Tribolium castaneum: one gene and its partners. The protein of the gene in region 1 interacts with the protein of each later gene in a pairwise test. Links are inferred from orthologs where the notes say so. Each region holds a gene or a part of one and is shown in the gene's direction. Other genes may lie near its edges.

The links.
Region 2: the proteins of Rab2 (region 1) and TBC1D16 interact in a two-hybrid assay, tested with the Drosophila melanogaster proteins (2 studies listed by BioGRID). The link is inferred for Tribolium castaneum from reciprocal best matches to the Drosophila melanogaster genes Rab2 and TBC1D16.
Region 3: the proteins of Rab2 (region 1) and Vps39 interact in a two-hybrid assay, tested with the Drosophila melanogaster proteins (2 studies listed by BioGRID). The link is inferred for Tribolium castaneum from reciprocal best matches to the Drosophila melanogaster genes Rab2 and Vps39.

What each region holds. Positions count from the first base shown.
Region 1 is NC_087396.1:10,630,854-10,634,632, forward strand, and holds Rab2 (ras-related protein Rab-2), read left to right. Parts: upstream 1-1,362; 5' UTR 1,363-1,482; coding exon 1,483-1,528; intron 1,529-1,757; coding exon 1,758-2,073; intron 2,074-2,129; coding exon 2,130-2,310; intron 2,311-2,535; coding exon 2,536-2,634; 3' UTR 2,635-3,158; downstream 3,159-3,779. Other genes in the region: Fcp1 (RNA polymerase II subunit A C-terminal domain phosphatase), read left to right, coding at 3,278-3,495, 3,547-3,700, 3,754-3,779. UniProt on the Drosophila melanogaster protein: May be involved in bidirectional endoplasmic reticulum (ER) to Golgi trafficking. Together with Rab7 involved in promoting fusion of autophagosomes and endosomes with lysosomes, probably through recruitment of the HOPS tethering complex.
Region 2 is NC_087399.1:11,383,328-11,386,988, reverse strand, and holds part of TBC1D16 (TBC1 domain family member 16), read left to right. Parts: intron 1-1,297; coding exon 1,298-1,834; intron 1,835-3,661.
Region 3 is NC_087402.1:12,345,242-12,348,193, reverse strand, and holds part of Vps39 (vam6/Vps39-like protein), read left to right. Parts: intron 1-1,370; coding exon 1,371-1,805; intron 1,806-2,952. UniProt on the Drosophila melanogaster protein: Part of the homotypic fusion and vacuole protein sorting (HOPS) tethering complex involved in endo-lysosomal vesicle trafficking and lysosome biogenesis.

The sequences.
Region 1 (3,779 bases):
TCTGTAAATTTAGAGTACGTGGCACGGTCGTTAATAGAAACTACTCATGCCATCTTTTGGTAGTGTGATTTCAAGTTAAATCCACGAATTTATCCAAAAATCCAAAATATTAAGCAACCTTTGGTGCGCAATGTCACACTACATTCAACGGTGTCAAAAAGTTTTTTCAATTAAATGTTTCAATTTCCAATTTGAATTATTTTGCTACGTGTTGTGTTCGTGGTTTTCTCTCTTTATTTTTATTTGGATTCGTTTGTTGGTGTTATCTACTCCTAAAGTAATCTCAAAAACATTTAAGTTTTGAACTTTCGAAGGCTAAAATTTGGTAAGTCGGGATTTTTTTGCCACCAAAAATACTATGTAATACATATCTCCAGCTCTGGTGTGGACCTATTATACATTTAAAAGGCAACCTACAACGTTTATTAAACAACTTTTGGCTGGCTGGAACACATGATTCTCGAAACAGTGCATCTCTCTACTTGTGAAAGCTATCCAGAAACAAATCGACTTGGGCACCAAAAATAACTTCGAGAATTTAAACCAAATTTCATTTTTCAAGTGGACATCTATGATGGACACCGTTTAAGACTTCTACCTTGCACATAGTGTCTTTTATTTAATACACGCGTTCATTCATTCATTTGTACAAAAGCCACAAAAACGTATCTTAACTCCCTCCTTTTTCCCGTTAAGTTTCAAGGAAACTTAGAACTCCTGAATCCACCAAAGTGGAGTCCTTACATTAAAATCAGAAAAACCTCTTACGCATAATAAGTTCATATAAGTAAATTTGTTGTAAAGTCATCTACGTGAGCCTACTACCAACACGAAAACATACAAGAAATGTTTGCACAAACTATTAAAAGCACTATTTTTCTGTGAAAATTGAATTGGGCACATGTCTAAAACTCCAATAGTACCTTATTAGGGTCCGTATTTACTTATTTAGTTCTTTAATTTTTTTCCAAGTTACAAAATAATGTTAAATAACCGTTTTTTGAGGGTGAGGAAGTCGCCAAATTAATATGTGGAAGCCAAACACGACATTTATTTCTTATAATTGATATTTTCATAATTTGTGAAACGTTAATTTATTAATAAATTATTTTCATTCATTGTATTTATTTTTTCTTTATATTTATAATACTAACAAAATTTTGCAATTAAACACATTTAACTGATTTTCAATAAAATCGGTTATGTGTGTTTAAATTGTAAAAAAATAAAAAAATTAAATTAATTGTGTAAATAATAAAATATTTAAATTTGCCGCCAATTTTAGTTCCTCATACTACCAAGATATGGCGCTATTATCGAAATTTTGACGACCAGTGAATTACGTGTTACTTGATTTTCTATAACTACTATATTCTATGCATTCAGCAGACAGCTGTCATCTTTTTACGAAGTTGATAAATTCGGTGATAAGCCGTGAAGTAATTAGAGCAAGTTGTTAGTTTATAGTTTCGTGTGGTGAAAATGTCGTACGCGTATCTGTTCAAGTACATTATAATAGGTGACACAGGTGGGTGTTGCTTCGGGTAATTCCCGTAAAAAATCATAATCGATTCGTTTAATTTTCTTGTATTTTGCGTATAACTCGTTTGTATTATTCATCTTGGATGGGTGTCAAGGTCTGTCTTTGTGTTTTAAACTTGTCCGGGATTCTGATTGGGGGAGGTGGAGTGTGTTTGGCATTCATTAAAATCAGCTTGATATGCTTATCGGACGTAAAGTAAACAATGGGGTTACAGGTGTGGGCAAGTCTTGCCTGTTACTACAGTTCACGGACAAGAGGTTCCAGCCAGTTCATGATTTGACAATCGGGGTGGAGTTTGGCGCTCGAATGATCACCATTGATGGCAAACAAATCAAATTACAAATTTGGGACACTGCCGGACAGGAGGCTTTTAGATCTATAACGCGGTCGTACTATCGGGGGGCTGCTGGCGCTCTTTTAGTTTATGACATTACGAGGAGGGAGACTTTCAACCATTTGACTACATGGCTTGATGATGCCCGCCAGCATTCCAACTCAAATATGGTCATCATGTTGATTGGAAACAAAAGGTGTTCATCCCGTTTTATTTTTTTTTTTTTCAAAAGTGTTAACTAAACCCTTCCAGTGATCTAGAGAGTAGGAGAGAAGTGAAAAAGGAAGAAGGAGAAGCTTTTGCCAGAGAACACGGACTAGTCTTTATGGAAACTTCAGCAAAAACGGCCGCCAACGTTGAAGAAGCGTTTATAAACACAGCAAAAGAGATCTATGAGAAAATACAAGAGGGAGTCTTTGACATTAACAATGAGGTAAATCAGCGGTTCTGCTCTGTTAAGCTAATTGGCATTTTCTAAAGGTTACACAAACTTTAGAAATCAATAATTTTATACATTAGCAAGTTCATTACCCCATTTTTGGTGATACTTTCTTCTGACTTTGAAATTAAGTTGGCAGCTTGAGACGTCACACGTATAGTGCTGCCAACTCAAATTCACAACTATTGTGTTTTAAATTTTGTTGTTGAAATTGTGCAGGCAAATGGAATCAAGATTGGCCCCCAACATTCCCCCACAAATCCATCGCTTCCTGGTGCAGGCGGCGCCGGGGGTTCGCAGGGTTCGAGTTGCTGTTAAGATGACTTGTCTGTCTTGAGGGTTACATTATGTGTAAGAGAGAAACCCTTATTAAAGAATTGAAAGTGACTGCACAGGTTTATTACATAAATTAATGATCTGATATCTTCCAAATTAGCAAGTTGCACTTTACCCCATCGTTCAACAACCTTTAGAGACAAAACTTTTCAAATATTTTGATACATATGGTGATATTGGCCCCCACTAATTTATGTAATGAAAGGATTATTATTGTGATTATTTTAAGAGTGTGGTATAGTTAGTCCAATACAGGTCACATATTTATTGTTTTGAGTTCATATTTTATAGAGTACCAACCGAAAAGCCGTTTCAGAAGCATTACATCTTACTTTAAACCAACTTTATTTTTGTTATTGGTGATAATAGTGTTATGTGTTTTATTGCGACTATTATACTTAATTAAGAAATGTAGTGTTTATCTCATTAAATAAATTTGTATTGTAAAACGTCAAATTTTTTATGTAAGCTTCATGTAATATAATCAAATATAAGTTGTATTGCCAGTTTGTGTTTGTTTTACCCAAAATTTGAAACGGGCGCGTGAGTAATGGCACCCGGAAGTGCACGCGTCGTCCAATCAGGCCGCGTTCTGCGTTCATGAGTGAAGTCGTTTCCGTGCAAGATGGCGGAAAAAACTATGTGCATATCACAGCAACAAACAAAACCTATAAAAATTTTAAAATGGAAAGTGAGCGAAGGGAACACTGTCTCGATCGGAAGAGTAATCCTTCTGTATGATTTTGACGGGGCTTCCAAGGTGGAACAACGCAAGTTGAAGGTAACACAGGCCGGAACAATTTTTAAGATTGTGGCGCAGGAAGGCGCCATTGTCAAGCCAGGGTAAGCAACAGTTTTGAAAAGGCGCGCGAAAGCTCACGCTCGAATTTTCAGCGAGACTTTGTGCGAATTGAAAGAATGCACGCATCCGACGGTGATGAACGACATGTGCGCAGAATGCGGCACGGATTTGAGGAAAAACGACGTCAGTGTGGCGGCTTCCGTGCCCATGGTGCATGCCATACCTGACTTGAAAGTCAGCGAAGAGGTGGTTGCGTTATATAAAATGCCGCTGCGGGGGTTTGACTTGCATTGTTGCAGCTTGCACAGAAACTCGGCAAAGCGGA
Region 2 (3,661 bases), on another chromosome or scaffold:
AGTTTACACTATAAGTACACTATAAATGGGATCTCTGTTCGTTTAGGAGATATAGTACTTAATGTACTCAAAAACACGTAATTTCTTGCGTAAGCCGGCCGATCACGTACATTAAGTACTGTATCTCCTAAAGGAATAGAGATCCCATTTTGCGACTTATAGTGTAAAATCTAGATATTCTAAGCTATTTTTTGAAATAAAAATAAATTTAAAAAATGGTCCAAATTACTAAAATTCGGATTTGAAACTTCACTTCCGGTTTTCTTCGCGAAAAAAATTTCAAATTCTAAATTAGGTTTCAAAATCAAATATGAAACACTATTTTAAATATTTTGGTCTGCATCAGTTTTTTGAATAAAAGCTTCCAAAAACTCTGTGTCTCATATTTTGTTAAATTTTTAGAAGTCATTATCTTCACAAATAAGTGTCATACAAAAAAATCCTGAATATAACCGAATTTAAAGATGTCAATTTTTTTGTTGTCCGCTTCGCGTGAAACGCCCCAAATAACAATTTTTTTAGCTCAAAAACGTGCTTTAACTTTCGAAAAAGGTAAACATCATACGAAATTTTTTAACTAATTTGGTATTTTCTCGAACGTTTAAATTTACTCGTAAACACCCTTCTTAGCATTGTTTTTGATGGTACGTCCTTCAAATTTTTTCTTTAATTCTTTTTTTTAAACCGTCTGTAGATCTAAAATCCAGCTTCCATCCTTTTCTTTAGATTATTTTATAAATCCATCATCATAATTCTATAAACGAATTTGTCCCAATGTATCTTTAGAATTATCACCAAAATATTTGAAACAATATTCTTTAAAAATGCCTGACATGCTCTTTACCACGTTTTTGGATAATATTAAAAGAGTCTAAAGGTTCTCCAAATATTCTAAGAATTCACCCAAATTAAGAAAAAATCACTAAATTGACAACACTAAGGGCCGGTTTATAGAAAGCTCAATTAAAGTTAATTGGGATGTTAAGTGTTAACAACGCGAATGAAGCAACCCAATGGATTCATTTAATTGCATTTAATTGCAGATTAAATTAATGAAGCTTCTATAAACCGCTCCTTAATCTAGTTCTATCAACTTATTTGTTTGTTGTAAAAAGAAATAAATAAACAACATTTTTATTGCATTTTATTTTGAAAATCCTGGTAAATATCAAATGCTGTTGGTTGGGACAACTACATTCCAACCATAAATTTCCACGATTTTTGCAGAGCCTTCGACTGTGAAAAATAGTGGGTCCAACTTCTCAACCAAGTAATAAATAAAAAATGTTATTTGCAGAACGTCCAGCAAGTATCGAACTCAAAAGCACGAACCCGTTCCTAAACTACGACACCACCGATTCCCTCAGTTCCGAAGACAGTGACAAGCAAGGCACTATCATCAACATCAACGTCGACATCGCAAATCCCGACATAGAAATCGTTACAACTCCAGACAGCGTCAAAGATTCCGGCGAAAAATTCGAATTTTCCCGCTCCGGCAGTGTTACTTCAAACGACAGCCAATTGAATTGGATCACAACACCGGAATTTCTCGCCCAAAAGCATAATTTGATGTTCCCCGAAAGCAACAACTGTTCGCCAATTTTACCAACAAAACAGCTACATAAATGCAGGAGGTTCAGTGTTGATTTGAGCCAAATGAGGTCACTGAGACTGTTTTTCAACGATGCAAATTGCACGTGTGGACAACTTGTTGTGGCTTCGAGGGAATCGCAATACAAAATTTTGCACTTCCATCACGGAGGGTTGGACCACTTGGCGCAAGTGTTGCATCAGTGGCATTCTTTGCTGCATAATATCAAACATGCCAAAGGTAACGCACAAAATTGGATCTAAACTTATTTAAACAATGTAATAAGTGAAGAGCTTGAATTTTGCGTTTTTTCCTTAAGCTGGTCCATGCGGGGTCCAAACAACAAAGAAAAAAAAGTATGTAGGCGGAGGACACCCAGCCAGAATTTGATTTGTGACAACAACCAGTTTTAGGAAAGGATTTCATTTATAAAGTAATTTAATCATCGGACCGATGTAGTTGTGTTCAATAATAATCGCGCTCGATATGGAATATAATGTTAATGTTAAGAATCTAGATCGAGTGAAACTTTCCTCATCCTAAATACCTTTTCTGGTATTAATTTGATATTAAATATTGTGTTTTAACTCTACGTAATGATATGAACTTTACAGCTCTCACAATTAGATGTAAAAAATTCGTTTTTACTACATAACTTCGGAACCATTTAACAAATGTTATAAAATTTGGCATCTTTTTCAAGTTACATTTTTTGCATTTTCGTTTGTATCTCACTTAGATATCTTAGTTTAACCCTTTACAGAGCGAAATATATCGTTTCAAGGTCATTTTAGTTCAAATTAAAAGCTACATGAAGCAGAAAGTATGTGATTTTTGAGTAAACGATATTCTTAACAACGAAAGTAAATAGTGTAAATAAGTTAGCTTTGAAAGTTTTTAAAATCTGTTAATTATTCACTTAAATTAAATTTGTGAAGTTCTGATACTAGTCCAGAAACAGAGTATCGAGACTAATAATACTTTCTTTTAATAAAAAATATCCAGTTTAGTTCAGTTCCATACTGCGCTTGTGCCAAGTGTCAAATTTAAAAAATGAATTAGTACTATTAGTACTACCAAAAGGTACACTAAAAGCACGGCTTACCAACCTAACAACTTTACAGCTGTATACGTTATCCTAGTGAAAACATAATATGTAATACTAATGAATAATAAAACAAAGAACAATAAATAAAACGAATGTAAATTCAACACAAGAGCTCTTCTTTGATTTTTGTTCGATTGATTTGTTCCGAAAATTTAATAAAAATTCCACTTATTTCGTTGGCCCGGTTTTTGGTACTTCAGTTGAAGTTATGTCTTCGTTAAAATATAGGGTCATTTTTTAAAAACGAGCCTCCATGAATATATCAGAAATTAAGCAGAAAATTCAAAAATCCCAAAACAGGTCAATTTTTAGTGAATTTTTAAAGGTTGTAGCACCAACCCCCTTTGTGATACAATCAAACCCTTTAAAATTTTAAATGGCATCACCCCCTTTGTGACACCTTAGGTGAAGGTATTTTGGCCAGGATTTCGGCCGTGTAATTTTTTTAGAGTTTTCAGTATTTTTATTTACATTATACAGAACAAGATATAGCAGAACAAATTATTGTAAAAGTTACTTATGAATTTTAAACGTAATATGCCGCTAAATCGGAATTGTGATTTTTGTCAGAAGCGATGGAAAAAGGCTTCAAAGAAAGTAAACACGAGAATGTAAAACACAAATCAAGATAAAGCCCACAATTGAAACAACATTGCCGAGAAATACATAAAAATGAGGAAACAACTAATCAAAAATTTGACAGCGTTTACAACACCGGCACATTGAATTTAAATTCCATAGTCGACTTTTTGATAAAGAAGCATTTTTGAACAGTGGATTATCAGGTAATTAAGTACCATGTAAATTTATAAAAAATTATTGAAACTCAAAAAAAAACACACAGTCGAATTTCTGGTCGAAATACCTTTCATTTAAAAGGGGGTCATGCCATTTAAAATTTTAAAGGGGTTGTTTGTATTACAAAGGAGGTTGATGTTACAACTTTCAAAAGTACACTT
Region 3 (2,952 bases), on another chromosome or scaffold:
ACAAGATTTGATTATATCATGTCACATCATTGTAATCAGGAACAGAAAGAGTTTTTAAATAAACAAATGTCAAATATGGCGTCAATAAGAAAAATCAAAGTTGAGTGTTGTAACTCTGCCATCAAGAATGCCATGGAAAAGGCAATGACAATTACAATTTCTTGTAAAAAAGTGCCCGAGGAATGTCCTACTTAAAAACATCTATCTTGTTTGATTCTTGTATAAAAAAATAAAAACAAAAATAAGATTTTTTTTATTTTTCTCAATAATTGAAAAACTAAAAGTGACACATTAAATTTTCTTTCAGATAATTGTTCAGCATAAAAATGCGCAACTTTCCCTAATTTAACCGACCTCGTATATCTTATAATAACTGGAGCTCGAAAAACGGACACCTTGTATTAATTATAATTAATAGCACCAAAATTTAAACGGTGACCCCCAGTTTTTTTTTCCTAAAATACTTATTAGATGTTGCTGAATGTTGATTTAGTGTTTTATGAAAATCTTAAGGAGGGTTTTTATACCAGAAGAGTTTTAGCGAAACGTTTTGAGTGATACGTTAAACGTGAACGTCTTAGATTCTTTATCGTACGTTTTTAAATTAAATTATTGGCAAAACGTGGAGCCTTTTACATCAAAATGATTTGACGAATACTTTACTTCTGATTGTAATTTCTTACAGATTCTAATCAAGAACTGCTCTTAAAAGTGTTAACTCGTCTTTATTGCACCAAAGACGAAGTTTACAAATTTGTCACAATTTTCATAACATTTCACATATAATATATACGACAAGTAAGACGAAAAGACGTAATACGTCTTTTCAATAAATTTCACGTGAACGTTAAAAGTTTGTTTCTTTCATAACGAGCGAATAACGGAGGACCCGTTAAAACTCTCTAATGAAAACTAAACTAAAACTAAAACTAGACGGTCGATCAGTTTTATTTTCGGAACATTCGATGCGGGATTCTTTGAACAATAATGTATTAAAATTTAAAAAAGTCTTAAGAAAATGAATTTAGGCACCAACTACCTTAATATGAATGTTCCTGTGTTTTTATAGGAACATCAGAACAGTAAAGAAAAGAACATTGTCAATAGACGATTTAAACAAAACTCGTTGCACTAGTAATTTGAATCTTAAATATCCGATGTTTGAAAGATTAGATACAAATCCAAAAATAAAAAATAAGTTATTGATAATTTATTTATGTGCAGTATAATCCTGACCAGGTCCAATGAACTGACCTTTGTGTCCATTGTTTTTAATTTAATTATTTTTGTAACTTCACGCGTAATTATTATTTACACGCAATTGTATTAAAGTTTGGGGGGCAATTTGTTTATTTCTTGTGCAATTTCAGATTTTTACGGAAGACTTGGCCGAAGTTGAGGCACTGCCTCGACCTCGCGTCCTCGACTTCCTCCTCCGTTCACACACGTGTGTAGTTATTCCGTATCTTGAGCACGTGGTGCATGTTTGGGAGGACACGAATCCACTTTTTCACAACGCTTTAGTGCATCAGTATCGCGAAAAGGCGATAAGTGAGGGCGCTGCAGCCGAACACACTCGTAAAAAATTGCTCGAGTTTTTGAAAAAAAGTTCACACTATACTGCCGACACTGTCCTTGGACATTTCCCGACTGATAGTTTGTTAGAAGAGAGGGCGATAATTTTGGGACGTTTGGGAAAACACGAACAGTCTTTGGCGATTTATGTTCGAGCTTTGGGCGATGTTGCCAAAGCTGTGGAGTATGCGCAAAAAATATACGAATCTGCAACACCAGGATGTCAAAGTGTAAGTTGTTTTTTATTTTTATTGTCCTTTGGTCTCGACCAAAAAAAAAACAAAAACGTTTTCTCGCATTATAAACATTTTCGCACACTTACACCTATTATAGGGTATATCAGAAATACGAGTCTTAATTTTAACAGGTAGCAGAGCCCAACAAATAAAATGTCTTTAATTTATTAATAAAGTTTTTAAATTTACATAAAATTTAAAAAAGATGTCATAATAAAAAGATCATAATATCCAACGGAGTGCTATAATAATTACACTAAAAACCAGGGTAATTTAGTTAGATAATGTTGACAACCTAGTTTTTTGACAATTATCTGATAGAATTGTCATTGTCAATCGGTACCTGTTTTAAGTGCATAATTTAATCAAATGAATCAAATACGAATCTTTAGAGGCCCTTGTACCATCCCTAATATGTAGCCTCTTCAAACCCCTTTCGAGTAATGTACAAACATAACTTCAAAAGCCAGTGCAAGTAAGTAAGATCTTATTATCCTTAGGCCAATTTTCAAATTTCATGTATTTGCCACAAAAGCCCGTATTTGTTAAGGGGTACGTTGCAAAACTGCCACAAAATTCCCTAAATTTCGAAATTAATTTTTTTGGTAAAAAAGGTGCAAAGTAGAAAAAATACTGTATGATATCTCGTTTATAAGGCATTTTGTCGCACTTACTCCATTATCTCTGCGTGCGACAAATTGCGTCTTATAAAACTCGTATCATAATATACTATTATCGTCTTGTATAATAAATAAGTAGTAGCTGTTTCACTATTTAAGTTTACATAAGGTTGATAAAAATGTAAAATACTTATTAATGGTTTGATCTCTCATTGAAAGTATAAATTACATTAGCTACTAATTTTTTGAAGAACATAAATAATTTTTAACAACTAATTTTGAGAGAAAATGCGATGTTGGCGTTTTTGATAATATTCTCTTTTATCTTTCTTGTAAGTAAATATTATCTACGAATTCAAAAAAAGTAAAAAAAAACAAAAATAAGACACAATAAATATATTAAAAATAAAGCTTTTCTGTTGCTTAATTTTATAAGGGGTGAATTTTTCTCGTTAATTTTTTTGGGTTGAAGTATTTTCATGATTTAAAAAAAATATAAAAAAATAAATGCTCCTAATTAA